3 linked regions of the Astyanax mexicanus genome follow. The protein of the gene in region 2 interacts with the protein of the main gene of each other region in a pairwise test. Links are inferred from orthologs where the notes say so. Each region holds a gene or a part of one and is shown on either strand. Other genes may lie near its edges.

Region 1 (6,996 bases), on a different chromosome or scaffold from region 2:
CAAAGATTCTGATTTAAAACAGACCAGTCTTTTAGCTGTTGCATTTTTAAGGAAAAAAAATATATATATATTTTTTGTTTCTGTCTGTATTCAGATACAGTCCTGGACCTATTCAATCACATCATTAACATCAGAACACACCTTTACTGCACTCCAGCTGTCCCCCCATACAATTCTATGTATTTGTTTTTGTATGTTTTTAAACGCACTCTACATGTTTTAAATGTAGTATCTGCTGGCAGAATGTGAGTTCTTCTGGAATCTTGGAACACATACTCATATGCACCTGCACAGTTAATGTGCCAGTGCTCATTTAACACTATAGAGAATTTGCATTGTGTGACACTGATGAGTTTTGCTACACTTGTATACCTTTTGTTGGTGTTTTTTTTACCCTTTCTGTTGCCTGGACCTACAATTTGTAGACACTGCAGACTAAATTAGAGGGTCAATTAACCTTTTCAGCTAAAACTTTTCTAGATGGGTCAATAAACCTAAAAGAAGATTTTTAACTGATCAAGGTTTTTCTTGACTGTGTTTACTTTAATAAACGTGTTGCTTTTGAAACAGAGAAGATTTAATGTGGAGAAGCAGATCAGGCACTGTTTTTTATATATCGGCAATTTACAAACCTATTGAAACAATTTAGATGGTGAATTAACACAATTCCGCTGATATCCACATAATTTTTTCCACAAGGAACTTTTGACTATGTTATGTGTGGCAGGAAATTTACTCTTAGTAAATTTAAGTAGATATCTAGTGCACATTTCTAGCGAATCATACATTTACTAGAGGTGAAGTACAACTGGACTATTCAGTTGTAAAAACGAACAGTTCCCAGAAATACTAAAATGTACATAAAAGGTCATGCATGTAATGTTGTTGAATACATTGGTGTAATATGAAAGGGTTTAATATCTGTTAAAATACGTGTTGTATGCATGTCTACAGTGCACATCTCTACCAGACACTGAATACAATTAAGTAGTACAAGATCTTATGCATAGAAGATAACTGCTTGTAAATGTGTCATTATTCTCATTTTGCCAAAAATGTTGCAGTTATACAATTATTTTGTGATTTTCTCATCCAACCTGGCTTCTGAAAATATACCTTTGGATATGTAATGGCCAGAAAGCATTGTTCAAAACACAAACAGTTACTATTTAGTTTTCATAATAATATATCATATATAAATTTTGTCCAGAAACACAATTGGAATGTCAGCAAATCCTGGCTTTGAGAACTGGAACAGTCACGAGTCAGAGTGATCTTATTCTAAATCTGACATGTGTCATCCCTCTAAATGCGATAATTTTGTGACATTAAATGGTTACATGGTTCCAGTCATTATCTAATAGATTTTGAAATGCTGAAGTAATTCCCCATTACTCTTGTGTTCTGGCAGCACTGTGTTATGTTACACATAAATTTTTGGCCCAAATTGGACAGCACTACACTAAATTCTAATTTCTCACTTTCAGTAAAACAAAACCAACAAACTCCCAAATGCAAATGGAGCCACGTATGCCAACTTATTAATTATTTTAAATGGCTAGACGGTTATCCTCATGTCTGTTGCAATTTACACTGACTCTTTTTTGTTTTCCCACTAGAGTCGTTTGTGCAGGAGTCACAGAACCATTTCTCAAAGTTAAAGAAGTTCTCACGTGGCTGGTTCCGCATCCAAGTGCAACAGGTTGGACGAAATAATTTGCAGCATGGAGCCCATCCAAAATCCTTGAACATTAAAAAAGTTTCGAGTTTTTAATTACAGATCCTACCTTTTCTACATGAAGTCTACTTTTCTGATTAATAAAATCATTTGCATCATTTGCTGTTGATATTGTCTGTTTAATACTGTCTGTTGTCTGCAGTAGAAAAAAGAGTTTAAAGCTGAATTGTTTTGTTATTGATCATATTAAATATACTAAAAACAAACAGCTCAAACTGGCTCAAAATATTCATACACATAATATGCTTTCTTCTGGATGGTCAACTACCTTGACCATCAAATACCAGTTTACTAAAGAGCTACCGGCAAAAGATTCTTAAGCTGGCAATACTTTGTTTAAAGATATCAAAATACATTTAAAGATAAACATTCAAATAAATACAGTTGTAAGGCACAATATACAAAAATGTATAATACATAACATTCATTCAAAGTAAAATTCTGTATATAAATGAGTGTTGTGATATCATAAACAGTGACCATGACTCAAAAGTGACAACTTTTATAATGTTTTTTTCAATTATGTTTTAACTAATGTTTAAGATCATTTTTAATTTTTAAAATGAAAAGAACTGTAATTGCATAAAATAAACATGCTTTTGTGATCATGTGTGATTTTTGACCATTTCAGATAGGAACTAATAGTTTACAACATTTCAATAAAGGAGGCCCTGAGGATCTTAATTTTTGTGATAAATGTTTACTATTTTCACATAGTTTTACACAAATTCACTGAAGTTTGTAACAAATTAGGTAAAGGGTGCTTTTTTTATCTGTTTACATGCATGAGCACCTTACGCAGATCATTTGGTTAAAGTAATTGAACTCAAGATTCTTGGTGTACTATCAACAAGCCTAACAACAAGCAACATTTAGGTTTTATATATGGTCTATGGCCAAATCAACAATAATGACTGGAGTGTACCAATGTGTACCGGTAACTTTTTGAATGTGGAGAAACCACAACACTGGAAACCAAATTTTAGTTTCATTATAACAGCCAAAGCTCAGAAAATATAGATGAAACAATATTTTTTTATTTACTAGGTATATGTTTGAAAAAATATGGTCAAATATCTAAATTCTGTTAGTATTTGAAAATAACCTCAGGCTTGTGTGAGTGTCTTCTGTAATTTTTTTGTAATTTTAGGTGAATAAAGCTTAAAGCTGCAGCTATGAGACATTGGTTTAATGCTGTAAGATACGCAGTATTTACAGCCTCTGACTGATGTTCAGTACAGGGAGCTCTATTGAAAAAATTTATTCATTCATTTGCTCCTCAGCTAAAATTCTGGTGAATTGGACAGTTCAAAACATGTTGATGACGAATGTGATTAAATATGATTCATTTAGATTAATTAATCACAAGTCATGTAATTCATTGAAGTACTTTTAAGCATCTGACAGCACAATAAAAAATGCGCTACCACTGTCTTAAAACTGCTGGCGTGAATCTGCTGGCGTATATCCGCGGCTCTGCAGACAGATACTAATGGGAAAGTATCCTATATCCCTGTATATATATGAGAAAATCACTGTTCAAACACTAGAGGGAGTTCAAAATGTGGTGAGGTGAAGTGAATGGAGCTAAACGCCTAAAAACTTAAATTAAAAATAGTAACTATAACCATTTGACATGGATATTCTTTGGATATATTTTTGGAAAGTAGGATATGTAGAATGTTGCTAAAACAAGCAAAGAAAACATACCTTTATATTTAACAGGTTTTAGGCAGTCAATGTGCTACCTTTAGGCTAATCCTTCTGTGTGCTGACTAGAGGTGGGTAATCCAGGTCCAGAAGGTAAAAATCCAGTCCAAGGTTTTGTACCAACTGCATGGGCGGCCCTGGACCTGGGTTACCCACCTCTAGTCAGGCAGTTGGTACAAAACCCTGGTCTGGATTTTTACTGTCTGGAGCTGGGATACTCACCTCTAGTGCTGCCTGGTTGGTGAACTCAGCTGATGCTGGAATTACAGCCAGAACATTTTAAATGGTTTATAACTGGAGTTTTTAAACTTAAAAAATATATATTTGCCACTGAACCATGTGATATTGTGCTGTGGGAAATGGGTGCAATTTTCAGTATAGAAATTATCAAACATTTATAAACTGCTCAAATGCTCCATATGAATCTATTCATTTTGGACTCCAAGAAAATATCTTTAAAATGGGAATTCTCCTCTCTAGAAGTTCTATGATTGCGTGTTTAAGTTTAACTCCACCCTCTCCCCACCTTCCCTGCACAGTTTCGGTTTTACTCTCTGACATGAAAAACTTTCTGTGCGCAAGAAAACGTCTTTTTTTGTTCAGTCGAAATATTGCCATTCCAGTCAGCGTATTTTAGCTGATTATTCTCGCTGTTAGGTTGAATATGAACCATTACCCTCTCAGGGAATTTTCTCCTGTTTTCAGCTGAAGGTGTTCCCACAGGACTCCTCACAGCATGGAGGAACAGGTAAGTCGTTTTACTCGTCGGCTAAAAGTTAAACTTTATATATTTAATGGTGTAGTCTGTTGGGGAGCGAGGCAGAAGATATATTTGTTATATACAGACGTGAAAGAGACTCTGTCCGTGTCACAAGATACACTAGCTAACCTACCACACCCGGGCTGAACCCTACAGTTCTAGGAAATTTAGGTTAACTTACTTCCTTAAGTGAAGAAATGAGAGATTCTGCCGGAAGTGTCGAATAATAAAGAACAAATCCCTCTTTACCTTGCTTAGGTAGAAAGTTTGGTCATCTTTACTTTACTAAAGTAATACTTTTCAGACGACGTTTTACTTCAATATAAATTTTCACACAATTATGTGTATTTTATAATCCTTACATTTTCAAACAATTATCTGTACTTTTTTACTCTTTACATTTTCAAACAATTATCTTTAATTTCTACTCCTTACATTGTCACACAATTATCATTTCTTTCTAGTTTTTATATTTTCACACAATTATCTGTACTTTATACTCTATGCATTTTCCCACAATTATCTGTACTTTATACACCTTACATTAAAAAAATAGCCTTCTTTACTCTTATTTCAGTTCAGCTGTTTTTTATTGGTTTCAATAAAATTCTATTTAGATAAATCTCTCCATCTGGATAGATTGAATTTGATTGTGGTTGAATGAGAAGTATAAATATATACAACTCCCTATTGGTTTACATGTGATCCATATATTGTGGCAGAGACTCAAGAGAACTCAAGTGAAATGTTCCAACTAAGTTTCTTTAATATTTGCATTGGGTTCATTTTCAATGGGTATATATGCAGTAATCCAGATTTTCGACATTAACATTTTAGTATAACATTGTAGTCATTATGGTTTTTAGTAAAATGTGTTTTGGGAAGGGGGTAGTGCACTATAGGCTCCTGTGGCATGGCCTAATTGTTGTCTTTAATGGCATTTTTTCCTTGAATTACTTTTACTTTTATACTTATTCTAAGTAGTTTTAAAACCAGTACTTTTACACTTGTACTTAAGTAAAAGGCTTGAGTTGCTACTTCACCTTCTACATAAGTATATTTAAACCCTAGTATGTATAATTCTACCTAAGTAATGAATGTGAATATATTTCACACCTTTGAATAATTATTAAATAGACGTAGCATGTTGTTTAATCAATGAGAAGCTCAAATCCTGTCCTAATTAAGGTCAACCTGGTTTTACTTGGTTATATTTCACAGACAGGACTGTGACAATTACAGTCTATACTGCTACATAGTTTTGCTCTGTGGCGGTTTTGCCTAGGAAAACACTGGATGGCGCCACTGCTACCCATCCAGCGGCCTGGCTGATCCACATGGCAGCTTAACATTCGACATAAATCTCAGTTTTAGTAGTGAAGAGAAGACTTAAAGGCCTGAGAGGTGACTAACTAAAAATAGGGCTGTTCTAAAACTTTTGACTGACCGTGTATGTTACTAATTCAGTCAACATTCAGCACAAATATGCCCAAATAGCCTGTTAGTCAAGTCCAAAACAAACGTGTAAACTGCTACTTTTGAGTTATAAAACTAACAAACTGTACAGCTGTGAACTATACATTCCTGCAAAATCCTCAATTGGATAGGTCCCATTGCCTTTCACTGGTTTTGATGGCTGATTAGGAAACTACGATGAGCAGAAGGCCTGATAGCAAAGAACACTGAATAAACATATATTTTTTTGGTTGCAGTAGATCAGGGGTGTACAATTTTTTTTTGTTGTGGGCCAGAAGGAGAAATATATGTGCAGTCATGGACCACAGACTCAAAAATCAATAAAACAAATAATGAAATATACTACTTATAATAAAACATTTCCTTAATTACTATCATTTACACACCATTTTACTTGAGTTACTATCTTTATCTGTCTTAGACAGTGTTGTGTAAACTAAGATTTTTCAAATTAATGTTCTGGTTCATAATGTCTCTTAATATTATACTAGTAAAAAAATAGTAATTTTCCCAACATGCCTGAAATTTTCTGCATTTGCTGTCCATTTTTTCGTTTCTTTGGAGTTGTTAGACTCTTTGGCCCGTTTTCTATACTACAACCGTGCACTCTCTCCTCTTTTAGACTCTTTGGCCCGTTAACCTCGCTACAACTGATCACTCTTGCCGCTATCAGACTATTTGGCCTGTTTTCTGCACTACAACTGTGCATTCTCGCTGCTTTTAGACTCTTTGGTTCGTTTTCCGTGCCACAGGTGCGTATTCTCACCGCATATAGACTCTTTTTTCGCGCTACAACTGCGCACTCTCGCCGCTTTTAGACTCTTTGGCCTGTTTTCCACGCCACAAGAGTGCAGTCTCGCCGCATATAGACTCTTTGGTCCGTTTTCGGCGCTACAAGTGCGCATTCTCGCCGCATATAGACTCTTTAGTTATTTAAATATATATACATATATATGTATATATGTATATATATTATACTATATTTTATAATATGGCATAATCATAATTTTTGAATAAAAATGTCTTATATTCATTTATTATCTGTTTTTGTCTGATCAGGGTCACAGAGGGTGTGGGATCTACCCGGGGTCATTGGTTGCTAGGCAGGAATGTTCCTTGGATCAATCACCAGTTAATCCCAGGGTACCTCACTGTTTTCAATCAGACACACACACACACACACACAAACTTTCAATAAATGTTAGTCTAAATGCAACTCAAATAAACATAGCATGTTCAATGCAGATATTATTTATAGCTTAGTTATACAGTATAGTCTAGTAATGTATTTCAATAAAGACTAAACTAACAG
Region 2 (7,964 bases):
GTGATCTATGGCTTCTGACAACGCACGCAAGACAGACAGACTCTGGACGATATCAAAACCACATTCTATGTAAAAGGCCCCACACAGATATCCTGGAGGTAATTTAACTAAATTTTTGGCATGTTTTGTATACATTTATTATAAGTTTCTTTTTCGTTATGAAGATTGAACAAAATGTGCAGCAAGAGGGGCATTCCCTGGTTACAGCTACAAAGTGAGGTTTCAATCTAGCAATGAAGTCATATTTAACAGTAAAATTTTACTTTCAATTTCAGTAGGGAAAGTTCCACATTTTACAGTAAAGACATCGCCAAAGGTGTAGCTTTAAGGCAAAAAAAATAAATAAATTGTGCTTTCAGCAAAAGACGCATTAAATCTGACACAGGATTACATCCAAACAGTTAGGCTAGTTAATTTCATATGTGATGCCATTAAAAAAATAGAAGGGTGTTTCATACCATATATTTTACACAAGGATCACTATCTGCATAGTGATGTTGCGTAACCAACCAGCACCTTTAGCCTGTTTGAAATGAGAGATGTGGAGTAACAGCCTAGCAATTATAATCCAGCACCCTCAAACAAGGGTGTGGCCTTTTTATGTAGTGTATTGTGCATTCATTTTGGGAGGAATTTCCTGCCCCAAAACATAACTTTCAATTTTAGTATGGGAATTTTATCATTTTACAGTAATGAAGGTATATGGCCCTAACTGTAGCTTTATGGCAAAAATATTGCTTTCACCAATAGATACACTGAATCAAACATAAGTTCAGGCTTCTTAAGTCTAAACACATATTATTCAGGGATATTACTTAAATCCTGGAGAAGTATATGGTCACAGGCACGCCTCACCCTCAGCATGTGCTAAGAGTTCTAGAACAGCACAGGAAACGTTTACACCCACACTTATTAACTTTAATATGCTTCGCCCACTCTCAACCATGAGGCGAAGCAAAAATTGATAACATACCGGTGCTACATACTGTACATAGCACCAGCATCACTATCTGCATAGTGAGGTAATAAACCGATACCATCAGGCCATCCAAGTGATTGATGGACAGATGTTGAGTAACAGCTTAACAATAAGATCTAGCACTCTTAAACACAGGTGTGGCCTTTCAATCTACTGTATTGTAATTCTTATTGTAATCCTTTTCTATGCATTTCTATCAAAGCTACCAGAACCCGCCCTGTTCTGCACAGGCTCACAAAACCCAAAAGAGCTGTGTATTATAGAACAGACTATTTCTTTAGCTGTGCATTACAAAAACACTAAAAATCATTTTACATCAGATGTGTTAATAGCTATGAATGTCCCTCCTAAATTGTGAAACCTGTCTCTCCTAAATTGTGATTTTACAGGAAAGGCCAAAAATGTCCTTAACTCTAAATGAAAGTTAATGTAAAATGAGTAATTTTAAAGCATTTCTAGTAGTCCATTCATTCAGAAATATTTACACAGTATACACAGCAGCTACATGGTTCAAATGAAGATACACATTTGTTTATTGGACAGAAGCAAGTGATGTATTTAATGAATAATAAAACTGGAACATTCACAAAATTATTTAGCTAGCAGTTATATAGAAGTTTTAGTCGGTTTTTGCCATATCTTGTATCTTTTTTTAAATAAATTTTAAAAATCCCTATCAATTCATATTGTGATAATAGTGCTATTCTTCTGTTGTTGTTTTGTTTTGAGTTTTTTGCTATTTACAGTGCAACTTTATAGTGGTATATTCTGTATGATAGTTTACATTCAAAATTTATACACGCACTAAATAATCTGCACTTTAGTATTTGGTAGTTTTTTTTGTTACTTGTGTTACTGTTTGTTACATTAAGAATATTCAAAATCTTGGAAAGTTACTGTTACATAATGGAGAATAGTTACAGATTTGTTGAAGGTTTAAAACTTTTCATGTATATTGTTGCAGTAGTATATTGTTGAACATTAATTTATTACATATATATATATATATATATATATATATATATATATATATATATATATATATATATATATATATATATATATATATATTTTTTTTTTTTTTTTTTTAATTCCCTTGTCATATCATTAAAATTATGGTTATTGCGCAAATACCCTGAAGTATCGTGATAATGTTTTAGGACCATCTTACCCACCATTCATGTACAGAATTTTGGGGGGAAATCAGTCCAGTAATTTCCAAACGTAGAGCTATAAATTAACATTAAACAAACCCACAACTAAGCAATTGGGGACGCACCTAGTTCGCTTTCCAGTTTGCGGTCTACAATGACTTTTCTGGACTTTTCCCCACTCACTCGCTCGCTCGCTCGTAGGATAGTTAGCTCGCTACCACCTGTCATTACCACCATGGGTAGAACTTCACATTCACATATTCACATTATTAAACACATTCGCTAAATATCTTTATTATTACTACTACTACTACTACTACTACTACTACTACTACTACTAAGTTACTACTATGTAACCAGATTAGCTAGCTCTAGAGGTGACACCATGACAAAAACACCCTTGGTTGACACAGCTAACCTAGCGTTAGCTAGCTAGTTACGTTAGGATACTAAGAGACCTGCTAGACTGCAGCAACAAAGAGCAGCTGACCTTAAACGGAGCTTAATTAGCAAGATAAACCACCCTGTTTTCTGCCTGTGAACCTAAAAAGCAAAACTGTTCGAGTTGTGATCGATTAATCACCAGAGACACGGAGTTTCGACCTTCGGTCTGTCTGCAGTGTTGTTGTAGCAGCTGTGTTAGCTAGCTACTAACGTTAAGCTAGTTTAGCTAAGCTAGAACTAGCGTAAACGATTTAGCGGCATTTAAAGTCACTAAAGCAACCGTTTTAGTGTCAACGTACCTTCAGGAGACCAGTCAGATGAATCCAGTCCTATTCTGCCGTTCACAAGGTTTAACTTTCAGACAGACTGCCTCCCTTCCTCTATCCTGCTCTTATACTGCCACCAGCTAGCTACAGAAAAGCGGAAGGAACAATTAGCCACGCCCACACGATTTTATGGACCATAGTGACTAGTGTGTGTCTCTCACACTAAAGCAGACCTTTTTTATAGATACAAAACTAAATGGGAAAAAGAACTGGGTTTGGCTATAGATCAAAATTTGTGTGAAGATCTTTATAGAGATCTTATAGGGATCACATCTACCACAAGCTTAAGACTGATTCGATCTAATTTCCTACACCAACTTTATTATACTCCAATTAAGCTGCACACTTTAAATTCAAAGGTGTCCCCCCCTTTCTTACAGATGTGGTGTTACTGATGGTATTTTCCCTCACTGTACATAGTCATGCCCTAAAGTACATGACTTCTGGCAGAAAATTTGTAATATGTTATCTGAGATTCTTGGTATCTTTTTTCCAATAGGTTCAGAAGTTTGACTATTGGGTAATTAAAAAAAAAAGTTGCACCATAAGGCTCACTGAAATCTTGTTAAAATATATGTATTTCTGAAATTAACCTTTGTATACCCCTAGAAAAGATCACCTACCATTTAAGAAACAAATTGGAAATATTTTGGTATGGCAGCCCTTCTTTGACTATATTAAAAAAGACTCATTTGAAAAGACCCATTGATTTATGGTGATGTAAGATCTCTTTAAATTTTATCGTTGACTATATATATGTTAGTTGTACACTAGGTTAACCATATTTGTATTAATTGTATTTATACTATATGTATATGTATAAATATATTATACTGTATGTCCTATCAGAAAAAATGTCAATTTCTTTTATTTACATTTTTTTTAGTATTGTATTAGTTGTGTTTTATGTTCAAACTAAAACTAAATAAAATATCCAAAAAAAACAGACATTTTATTTTATTGTTGAAAGAACATACAAATATATGAGATATATATGTCATGTCACAGAACAAGGATTAAAGAGTACTGTTACACTTTATCAAGCCTTAAGTACTTGCACTTGTTTTATGCTGCTGCTACTTCCCTTTATGTTATGTGTAGTTATCTTGCTATCTATTTCAATTAAATATTTTATTCTTATTTTATTTTATCTACATTACAATTGCTCTTTTGGGTGGAACTGAGCTGTGAGATAACATTTCTGTTCCACCTCATGTACCACGTGATGCGAATGACAATAAAGTCTTACTGAATCCTTGAATCCTTGAGGGTCTAATAAAATAAGAAAAAGAAAAAAAGAGTCCTGTAGTCCTTTGGATTCACGTACGTGAAGTATAGTAGCATGTGTATAAACTTTAAATGTAACATATTCTACAAAATATACCCCTTTAAAGTTTCACTGTAAATAGCAAAAAAATCTATATATTTCTGTTTGCGTTTGTGTCCATACTGCTGCATTATGGAAGTAAAACAGTGTCCATACTGCATGGCTGAATGCCAAGTGGAGTCGGCACAACACCAACTTCCTGTAATTGATCTAAAAGGTTGAACCATTTAGAAAAGTGTTTTCACACTGCAGATGAACTGGACCATAGTTCAGTATATCCAGAGCTTGGTTGTAAACTGAAAAGTCTGAAAGTCAGTAGAAAGTAGGTGTGAAATCACCCTTAAATGCTAAATAAAATGTTTCACAGACACAGTTTTATAACACAAGTGATGGATTTATTGGATTTTAAACTTAAAATATTACAGTCATGTGCCCTCTATACAAAAGAAAAAAAAAACAAATGAGAAAAAAAAAATTATGTTAATATGCAAAAGTCATAATGATAAACTCATGCTTCCACAGATGTTTCAGGTGTACCTTTGACATAGACGGTTTAATATACATATTGTGGTTAAATGGAAGTGTTAGAAAAAGAAAAAAGCAGTAAAAAGAGAGAAATAGGCTAACCCAAACAAATAACCCCAGCTCCTATTTACAAAACCCTATTTTATTAGTACAAAAACACAGTGTTTCAAATAAATCATTTAATAAAACAAAGTGATTAAATGTGTTAATATGATTAATATGACTATGTCAATAAACACAGCCTAGGTGTCTACAGGTGTCTACAGAATAAACTTTCTTGTGCTCAAAATATACACTCCCTGTAATGTGATTCAAATCCCTTTTACAGCAGCTTCAGGAAAGCTAAAGTTTGATTGCAGTTTATTTTCTGGAAACAACATTCATAGTTTTATGTAGAGTATGCCATTTCATCATTGTGTGGGTAGCCATGCTCTGAAATCAGGCCAACAGAAATCTACCTACCTACAAATACTTTAATCTGCCTGTAAAATCTAGCATAAACTACCCACTGACGACACACTACACATCTCTCAGAACAGCAGAAAACTAAAGACTTATGTTTATGTGGGCTGACAATAAAGTAGCAAAATTAGCAGAATAAAATATAAAACCACATAATTATTTATATATATAATTATACAAGTATTATATCCAAATATATCCATATGCACAATTGTAAGGAATACTTGTTAATGATTCACATCATAATAGTTTTTGTGTCAAAGTGGAATCTTAGCTATAGGTTTTGATTTTCTGAGTGATGAAAGCACAACACACAGGGCACTTTTCAACAGAATTGGAACATTTTCTGCAGGTGACCAAGTGCCCACATGGGATGAAGGCAATGGAACGGTCATTATCCATGCAAACTTTGCAGAGCTTTTCACGCTGGAGCTTCTCCAGTGTCTTTAAAGGGTCCTCATCTGCAACACATAAGGAAAAAAAACACTGTTTACAAAAGAACATGAGACAGTATAACCTTTCTAAAGATAATTTACAAATAACATCACTTCATAGAAAAATCATATAAAAATGCACGGCAACAACATATTAAAAAACCTAAGGTGTACTCACACTAAACCTGGTTGCCCTGTACCATGCCTGAGCATTATTGTCCTAAATTCATGTTTATCCTATTGCAAATACTCTTAAAACAATTGTGTTCTGGTTTCACAATAATAATACAAGTCTGTCATAGAAAATTAGAACAGTGTGCATTTTACTTTAATATCAAGCTGCAAAAATTGCTGAAATTATATATTGTGTATTGTGCCCTATGCCCTGGCACAGTTGGACAAACTGGACAAAGACTTTACATTATGCTGATTATGCTCATTATTTGTAATATGTGCATTTCAAATCTTCTTACCTCTCTCTTTATTTGAGAATACATTTTTACTGCTATCACTCTTCAGCTCCATCAGTATGTTCCCCACATCATGCCCCAAGATAAAGAAGCAGTTTGGGTTGAACTTGGAATGTTCACTCCAGGGAACATCACCTTCCTTCCAGGCTTTCAGTATGCCTCCACAGCAGAAGCACTGCACCAGGTCATTTATGGTTGGTTTAGGCACATAAAACAGCCCAGCCCCCACCAAGTCATTGGGCTGGACCGGGGACGAGGAGGGCCAGTTGCTGAACGTCCTCAGCCGGGCTTCTTCACTCCTCATGTGTGGCACTTTCGGGTAGGGGGACTCATTCACAATCTCTCCTTTGTGGAGTCTGATGGCTTTCGCCTCTTGATTGGAACTGCTGGCCTTAGAGGAATGATCACCTATGAGGTTCCTCCTACTATTAAAACAGGACAAGTCCTGTGATCCATCATGGGTTTCGAGTGTGCCAGCAGTGTTGAAATCAGCCATTGTCACAGTGTGTGTCTAAATAAGAGAAACAGATAGCACTAAATTGGTTGTTAAAACATACAACCCATTCACATCCCGAATAAAAGGTAACATAGTTGAATTTACTAATTTATTAAACTAGTAATTTTGAAAACTGAAATAGGCATTTAGATTTTTTTTGCATTAACATACCTTCTGGAGATCCGTCAGATATATATAAAACCACTTCCTCTGCTCTAATGAATGCACTGTTGTTAAAGCTCTAGCTAAATAATAAGAAAGAGAAAGTGACGCCCCATGGGAACACCCACATGCTTTGTCTGACAATCAGAAGAAGTGTTTACTGGGATGGTCTGATAGAAACGGCCTCTGTCTTTTTTTCTGACAATTAATAATGAAAAATTCATGCTTCCACAGCAATTCAAGAATTGCCCATGTAAAACAATCAAAATTACTATTTTTTGTGTTTTATGTCTTTGAACCGTGTTACATGTGTATTGAAAACATAACAATAGTACTCGTAAAAGTAAAAGATGAAGGGTATATATACAGTATTAGGCAGTGGGTGTACTGTGTGAAGATCCAAATGACTCTGACAGGCCCAATTGTGATGGTTAGGTGACTGGGTCAGACCCTAATAGCAAAGAACATTAAATAAACATAATAAAAAAACAACAACCATAAAACAATATTTTTTAACTATGCCTAATAGTAATCGGTTAATGTTGCAATTCTGACATTGAATCAAAATTTATTTAAAGGTTTTGAATGATTTGTTCTCTAAATATTCACTCAATATTCACTTTTAGGAGAATGGTACTTCCCACAAATAATAATATTAATATTAATAATTATTATTATTTAACTCTGCAACTTTCTACTCTGCAAGAACACAGTACAGGCCATAAGAAGATACATATTTACTGTAAATAATGTTTAGTACAAACCAAACATATAAAATCATAAATTTGAATCATCATAAAATAGATGTGCAGAAATAAATCAGTTAAAAGAGAAAAACAGAGACCACAAACCAACTTAAAGCGCTTCATGGCACATGGACCCACGAACTGCACAATCGTTAACAAATTATTTGAAATGAATCACTTAATAAAACAAAGTAATAATAAATAACATTTATAGAAAGATACTTTGTTAATAAACATTGTGTGGGTGTCTACAGGGGTTGAGATTTAACTTCCTTGTGGGATTCCCCTGTTTAATTCCTTTTGGCAGCAGCTTCAGGAAAGCTTTATACAGAGTTTGATTGTTGTTTATTTCCTGGTTATGCCATACATAGTTGTATGTAGAGTATGTGCAGTATGTAGGGTATGCCATGTCCTTATTGTGTGGGTAGCCAAGGCCTGC
Region 3 (7,340 bases), on a different chromosome or scaffold from region 2:
GTCTTTCCACTCTTCCTCCAGACTCTGGTTGCTTGATTTCCAAATGAAAGGTAAAATTTACTTTTATGGAGATGCGGATTTCATTTTCCAGCAGAACTTGGCGCACTGCCCACACTGCCAAAAGTATCAATTGGTCTTTTATAATATTCTAATTTTCTGAGATGCACCTGTATAACTGTTATCCAAAGCTTACCAGTTTTGGCAATTTTACTGCCACTACTTCAAGAGAAATGCTGGATGCACCAAGTGGTGCATCCCCAGTTTTTGTGGCAAAGCAAGAACGCATGAAATGTGTTCTTGATTATTGGAACACAACTTGGGCACTGGAAGGGAAGGTCAGACTAGAAACAGGACACCTAGAAGAGGTGTGTTTGAGTATGGAAATACAAAACGTCTCCACGACTGACTTTGGGACCAGTGAAGCAGAGGATGCCTTGTAAATTGGCTAACAATTGTCAATATTTTTTAAAGAAAGATACAAATTAATAGCTGGTTTCTTTACATACAGAGCTATAGTCACAATACTGTTCAAATGACTTTTCTGCTACTTGCCTCATTTTTTCTGACAAATTTACTCTGCATTATGAGGATGCATTATGATCCTCTGCAACTCAGGATGTAAAACTAGTTTTACGTTTGTTTGTCTTATCTGTTGCAAGGCAGAAAAATGTATTTACTTTGACTCATGGTATATAAGGCAATGTTTGTGTCTGGTGGCTGGTTTAGGTCCTGTGGTGGCTGGAGTGGTCGGCACTAAAATGCCACGTTACTGTTTGTTTGGAGACACTGTGAACACAGCATCCCGCATGGAGTCTACCAGTGAAGGTACGTGAGTGAAGGGTGGCCTGTAAACACTAGGTTAATGATCAGCTCAGATGACTGCTGCTATGTTTGCCTTTGATAAGAAATGGTTTTGGAGACAGAATGACGGCATTAAATGAGGTTTACTTATTTGGTCACATCAAATACTGTCAATGACATTTACCAAGCCCTTGATAGTATATGTGTAATGCTTTTAATTGCACGTGACCACAAGATATTCTCAATAATATTAGTAACCTTGTTTTTGTGTTAGTTCCATTCCATTACATTTACAGTACTGTACAAAAGTCAGGCAAATATTCATATTGAATTTTACAGTCAAAAGTTCATATTCTTAAGGGAATTAGATATAAGCCATCTGTTTGCAAGGATAGTAGAATTCAAAAGAAAACCATTTAAAATGGGACTCCTAACAACCATGCAAGACCTGGTATCAATCTCCATCAAACAGCACTGAAAGCTTTCATCACTAGACAGAGAGACAGAGGAGGAAAACAAGCTCCACTTTCGCTTCTGATCTGAAAACATCCACAGGTGTTTCTATTCGTTGCTCAATTGTGAGAAGATGAAAGTATGTGGAGTTGACCAAGAAGGTCAAAGTGATAAAAACAAACAGACAAAAGAGAATAAGAACAATTGAAGTCCTCAGAGCAATGGATTGACCATCCAGGAGTCCAGACCTTGACATTATTAAATATGTTTGGGAAGCACAAAATGCAACAACTTCTGTAACTGATTTTTGTTTTTTGATTTTCTGATTTTGATTTTTGATTTTCTGCTGCTGCAATAAACCTAAAGTGTGGACACGATAAATTTAACTTATATTTTGAAAGGCTTATCTGTAATTTCTTTAATTAAAAAACAAAATGTGGTCTTTCTACATGGCATTATACATTATCCTAAATATATATTTGGTACTTGCTTAAGTGGAACATAGCACCTAATGTTTTACAGTATTACAATTTTAAATGCCATATTATCTTCTGGCAGCTTTAAAGATTCAGTGCAGTGAATCCACAGCTGATCTCCTCCACACTCTTGGGGGATACGTTCTGCTCTGTCGTGGCAGTCTAAATGTGAAGGTAAGATTGCTTACATCATTTGCAAACAGTGAAAGTGAAACTTAATTTAAGACATTATGTGCTACTAAAAGCAATGGAGCAAATATTTACAAATGTTACACTACATTACAGTTACTAGGATTGTTTGAGAATAGATGCACATAATTTTTTTAGGATTCCTTTTTGGGATCATTTTTGGGGCAGGATTTTGTAGCTGACTCACTGTGGTTGCTATAGATAACTGACCTTTTCTCATGGAATGCGCCCTTTCAGAGATTGACAAGATAATTTACATGGTAACCCCTTTTAAACCTCACAGCCTTTACGTAAAATGTTGCGCATAAATTATGCAGCTATTCACTATGCCCTTACTATGTATACAAGTAACTGAGTAAAAAAAAACATTCTCAAAATGTATCATAATTATTTTCAGCTGATCTCCCTGCATATCCTAGAAATTAATTGATTGTCCAGTAGAGAACATACGAAAGATGACAAGGGTCCCAAGAGAGAATGCTGTTGGGCCTAGCACAGCTGTGCTATGTCTCAATTAGAGCTTGGTCTCAGCTGGCTTCTGGACAGTGTCTTCTACCTCCTCATTCATTATTCAGAGACAAATAGAATCCCCCTCTCTGAATTTTAATGGCGATGTTCACGAACAGAGACACGACAAGGGAAGATTTACTGCTTGTCTGTAACCGTTTGTCTTACAGGGCAAAGGTGAGATGACAACTTGGTGGCTGGAGACTAAAAAAAGCCCTATGGATCATTTCCTTCAAGATGAAGAGCCACAGTGTGGTCCTGTCCCAGTTAGCAGCTAACACCACTGTCTAGAGAATATGCCTACCTTCCTGTCCTGATCGTTGTATTGATAAGTGTATCATGCAAAATGAAATCTAACATCGCAACATTGGCAAAATAATTGCTTTTTCGGACGCTATTCATTCTGTGATGTGGCATAAATTATTGTGCATTTGTATTTATTATGCTTTTATTGTTACCTTCTGAAATTATGCATAGCTCAAGATTAATCACTCCAGGATTTCAAGACTTGCTGATGTAATTTGTAAATATCTGTGTTTAATAATTAATAAACTGTGTATTATGTGAATTCCGTTTTACGAATAACAGAGAATTAAATAACATTAAATGCATTTAGATTTTTGACTCATAAAAGCCTGACACATTAATTCAATTTATCGGTCTATTACTTAAGCTTTGTGTTACATACAATAACATACACACAAAAGGCCAAAATGTATCCAGATTCCACCTCTAATGATTGAATTCAGCTACTATTCCTGACAAATAGGTTCAGCTTGTATATTATCCATTAAAACGCTCTGTCTGTGGAATAGGATGCCTAAGGTCAGAAAGGTGTCAGTTAGACAGGGGTAAAACCCACCAGCATTGGACTGTGGGGCAGTGCAGCTACATTCTCTGGACTGTTGAAACTTCATTCAATCCATTTGGGATGATTCAGAGTTAAGTTTATGATTCAGAAAGTTTGCAATCAAATCCTCTCCCTGCTGTTAAACTGAAAAATCTTGTCCGATGAGCGGTGTACAATTTACATTTCTATCAATATTTGTATATATTTAGCAATAACGTTTTATTATTTTCTATTATTATAACTACTTTTTTAAAAATAGTATTATATGAATTCATATGATATACCTGTGTATAAACTTGCCCATCTCAGGCTATTTTTTTAAAAAGATTTATTTATAATTTATTTCTAGTTCCCATTTTCTCCCCTATTTAGCTAGGCTGATTGTCCCACCCATTTAGCTGCTAATCAGCTGTATATTCCTCATCACCAGTGATGCCACAACACAAGGTGCCTGAAGACTAGCACATGCCTCCGTTCTCCGTAAGCCACTGGCTCTTTTTGAACTGATGTTGCATTTCGAACAGCTGCTGATGTAGCATTGCCAAAAAGCATCATAGCGTGCCCAGAGAAAATCTCTGGAAAAAAATAAGAGACCACTTGAAAGGTATGAGTTTCTTTGATTTTTTTTCTTTGAATGCTCTTAATGACAATATTTGTATTTGGAATCAGGGAGAAATGTTGTCTGTAGTTTATACATATAAAACATTTTACTTAAACATATACCTATAAATAGCAAAATCAGAGGAACTTATTTAGAAACTGAGGTAGTCTCTTATTTTTTTCCAGAACTGTATATGTTAAATAATATATGAAAATATTCATATATATTTTGTTAATCAATCATTGACTATACACTTTATTATAGACACATTGCACTGATTTATTACAGATTTATATTTATATATTCTGTATACAAAGCCTTTTTTGCCATCCAAAGCCCGCATCGAAGCTCATTGGTTGACGCTTGGGTTATACGAGGTAAGCGGCCAATCAGGTGGCCGCTGTTCGTTGCCTGACAACGCAATGCTTGTCGCTGCTTGTCCTCGTTTTGCAGCTGAAACTGGCACTCTGTAGAAGAGCCAGAACTGCAGCACCTCCAGCTGGAGCTACAGATACAGTTTAATGTTATTACCGGGTACAAAATCAGCACAGCGTTTAAAGGCGGTTCACCATTTTTCTAAGGCGTTTCTTTAAAACCTCTGTCGACGTGGAATACCCCAGATGCCCTGGTGATGCTCTTCGTTGCTAAAAAGACAAGTAAGTGAGCCTCGTCCTCTCAGCCAGGCACGGATTTATATGTAGCTGCGCATGTGTCCTGAATGTAGCCGTGAGTGTGCTCAGATTATACAGTTAAACATGCTTAAAAGAGTACCACGCACAACCTGACAGTTCCTGTAGCCTCGTTCACTGGATTCTGGACACATATTTACTGCCGGTTTTAGCGCAGTCAGTCTGAAGAGATGGCCAGGTCTCATAACATTTAGCCTGCTACTACAACCAGTTGGATAACGGTACTATTAGCGCTTGATTATATTTTGAACTATATGTACAAACGTTACAGTAATCGTTATAAACGTGTTATTTGTGCTGATGTCATTCATATATTATAGGCCTGCTTTAGTTAGACTGATTATACAGCTCTGTAAAAAATGATGAGTTTCCTCTGGAAATATAATCTAGAGGAAGATGGATGATCACAAGCCAAATCAAGCTGAACTGCATATATTTTTGCACCAGGAGTGGCATGAAGTTATCCAAAAGCAGTGTGTAAGACTGGTGAAGTAGAACATGCCAAAATGCATAAAACTGTAATTAAAACCAGTTTTTTTCCACCAAATATTGATGTCTGAACTCCTAAAACTTTATTAATATGAACTTGTTTTCTTTACAAGTCTGAAAGCTCTGCATCTTTTTTTGTTATTTCAGCCATTTCTCATTTTCTACAAATAAATGCTCTAAATGACTATTTTATTTAGAATTTGGAAAAAATGTTGCCCATAGTTTATAGAATAAAACAACAATGTTTATTTGAATCAAACATATACCTATAAATAACAAAGTCATAGAAACTGATTCAGAAACTTAAGTGGTCTTTTATTTTTTTCCAGAGCTGTATGTTACTGTAAAGCAAGTGTTATAGTTAAATACTAGGGGTTGGCGATATGTACCTAAAATAATATAACAATATTTCAGGGTATTTTTTGCGATAATGATATACAACATTAAATACAAAAATAAAGATAAATAAAAAAACATGCTGCAACAAAATATGAATGATAAGATACATGTAATATGCCACTCCCCTAACTAAGATTTTTACAACATTGTAACATTGTAAGTCATTTGTCCAACATCCTATTTATCCAGGATTGAAGTAAAATAAAAGATACTGGAAAGATACACTGCCAAAAAAAGTTAGACCTGACCAACTGCTGCAACCCCAGATCATTTACTTAGTTAAATCTAGGTGGCAACTTTTTTTGGCCAGGCAGTGTATAATCTGTTTCTAATAGATATTTAAAGGTAAATGAGAAGAGTGTGATCACAATATTTCAGGGTGTTTTTGTGCTACCAGTATTTAAGATTGTTGGTGAAATTCTTGCATACGATAGGATATGGCAAACCCATTTTAAATACATTTGGCGGGTGTGTGATGGAATTCATCTGCCGGCTGCAACTAAGCTTTGTTCTTCAAACTAGCTCTCAAATGATTAATTACTTTCTTCAAAATGAAGCATCCTTCCAAGCATCAAAGAATGTTAAAGACGTCCCCAGTATACTAAAATTGCATCATGGGAACTACAGCTAGGGTAAAGCCTGCAAAAGTATGAAAAATAACAGTGTTCTGCACATGTCTACTATGTATACTATTTTTTCAACATGGCTGAATATATGAAAAACATGCTTTTAGAACACTTGGTTCAGAATTTGATATAATTAGTCTGACTAAAGTAGGCCTATGTAGGTTCCTTAAAGTATGTACAGACAGTTATACAATAACAAATTCAGGATAAACTCTTTTTAATATCCTTGGTTTCAGAGGAAAAAATAACTTTTGTCCTGTTAGTGCATGTATGTATGTATGTATTATTATACATTATTAAGATTGTGGAATTATGTTAGATTGCTGGATTTATGTTAGCAATGGAGTGATGGAGTAACGTGAAAAGCCCTGCTAACATGCTCTTTGTTTTCAGGGTACCTGTGCAGGTGTTTGCCGCTAAATAACTAATCCACACAGTATTAGCTCCTTGGATATATGGAAGCCTGGAAAGATGCCAGAGTCATCATATGGTGAAACTGTTTTATAATATATGTAATACTATGATTTGTATGAAAGTATTATGCTTAAAAACATATTTAATTATTTCACAGAAGCACAGTATTAACTGCACTTATTAAAATGGCACTTTGAGGATTCTTTAGTAAAGGAAATAATTACTAGGTTAATATAGGTAAAAATAGGTTATTAATAGGTTAATCGTTTGAGCGAGGGTCCACAGCATTATCTGTGTACCAGGAATATGTCCTATAAGACATGACTACTCACAGTGGATAATGGGTTAAAATGATCCAAATCGCATCAACAATTAACACAGAAGGCTCTGAATATCCTGCTGCTTAAATCAGCATTCTTTAGCTTCCATGAGGCATGGCAAAAGTTTTAAAACACTTCATAGGTAAATGGTAAGATTAAAGATATGAATGAGTTGATTTGTGTATATTTTTAAACTCATTGTTTTATGCCAGAGCTTCATACTGACATTCCATACAGTGTATGTATGACTCTTTTGCTCTACATAGACATAGTCTCATGTGTAAAGGGAATAAATTAAGGAACCAGAAATAACACTGGAGTACTATTTTAAGTTCATGTGTCTCTACTAACCTCGATAAAACTTAGCATGCTCATTGTCATCTTTGTCATGATATTTACCCCCACACAAAACCATGACTAAGACTGTATTTTTACCAAGCAAAATAATTCCAGAATTGTTTGTACCACAGTTATTTCTGTTTTTTTTTGTGTGTTTCACAGACACTTCCTTTGGAACATACTAAGA

What was found.
Region 1: the proteins of E3 ubiquitin-protein ligase XIAP (region 2) and casp10 interact in binary tests that used the Homo sapiens proteins (3 or more experiments, as listed by UniProt). The two-hybrid records come from large-scale screens. The link is inferred for Astyanax mexicanus from reciprocal best matches to the Homo sapiens genes XIAP and CASP10.
Region 3: the proteins of E3 ubiquitin-protein ligase XIAP (region 2) and afadin- and alpha-actinin-binding protein interact in binary tests that used the Homo sapiens proteins (3 or more experiments, as listed by UniProt). The two-hybrid records come from large-scale screens. The link is inferred for Astyanax mexicanus from reciprocal best matches to the Homo sapiens genes XIAP and SSX2IP.

What each region holds. Positions count from the first base shown.
Region 1 is NC_064418.1:32,518,088-32,525,083, reverse strand, and holds the start of casp10 (caspase-8), read left to right. Parts: upstream 1-3,960; 5' UTR 3,961-4,184; coding exon 4,185-4,196; intron 4,197-6,743; coding exon 6,744-6,827; intron 6,828-6,996. Other genes in the region: protein FAM237A, read left to right, coding at 1,620-1,774. UniProt on the Homo sapiens protein: Involved in the activation cascade of caspases responsible for apoptosis execution. Recruited to both Fas- and TNFR-1 receptors in a FADD dependent manner. May participate in the granzyme B apoptotic pathways.
Region 2 is NC_064417.1:41,604,690-41,612,653, reverse strand, and holds the start of E3 ubiquitin-protein ligase XIAP, read right to left. Parts: upstream 3,016-7,964; 5' UTR 2,877-3,015; intron 1-2,876. Other genes in the region: E3 ubiquitin-protein ligase XIAP-like, read right to left, coding at 5,488-5,678, 6,125-6,617.
Region 3 is NC_064423.1:20,581,918-20,589,257, reverse strand, and holds the start of afadin- and alpha-actinin-binding protein, read left to right. Parts: upstream 1-4,304; 5' UTR 4,305-4,533; intron 4,534-6,473; 5' UTR 6,474-6,551; coding exon 6,552-6,570; intron 6,571-7,340. Other genes in the region: atrial natriuretic peptide receptor 2, read left to right, coding at 727-825, 1,813-1,904, 2,597-2,704. UniProt on the Homo sapiens protein: Belongs to an adhesion system, which plays a role in the organization of homotypic, interneuronal and heterotypic cell-cell adherens junctions (AJs).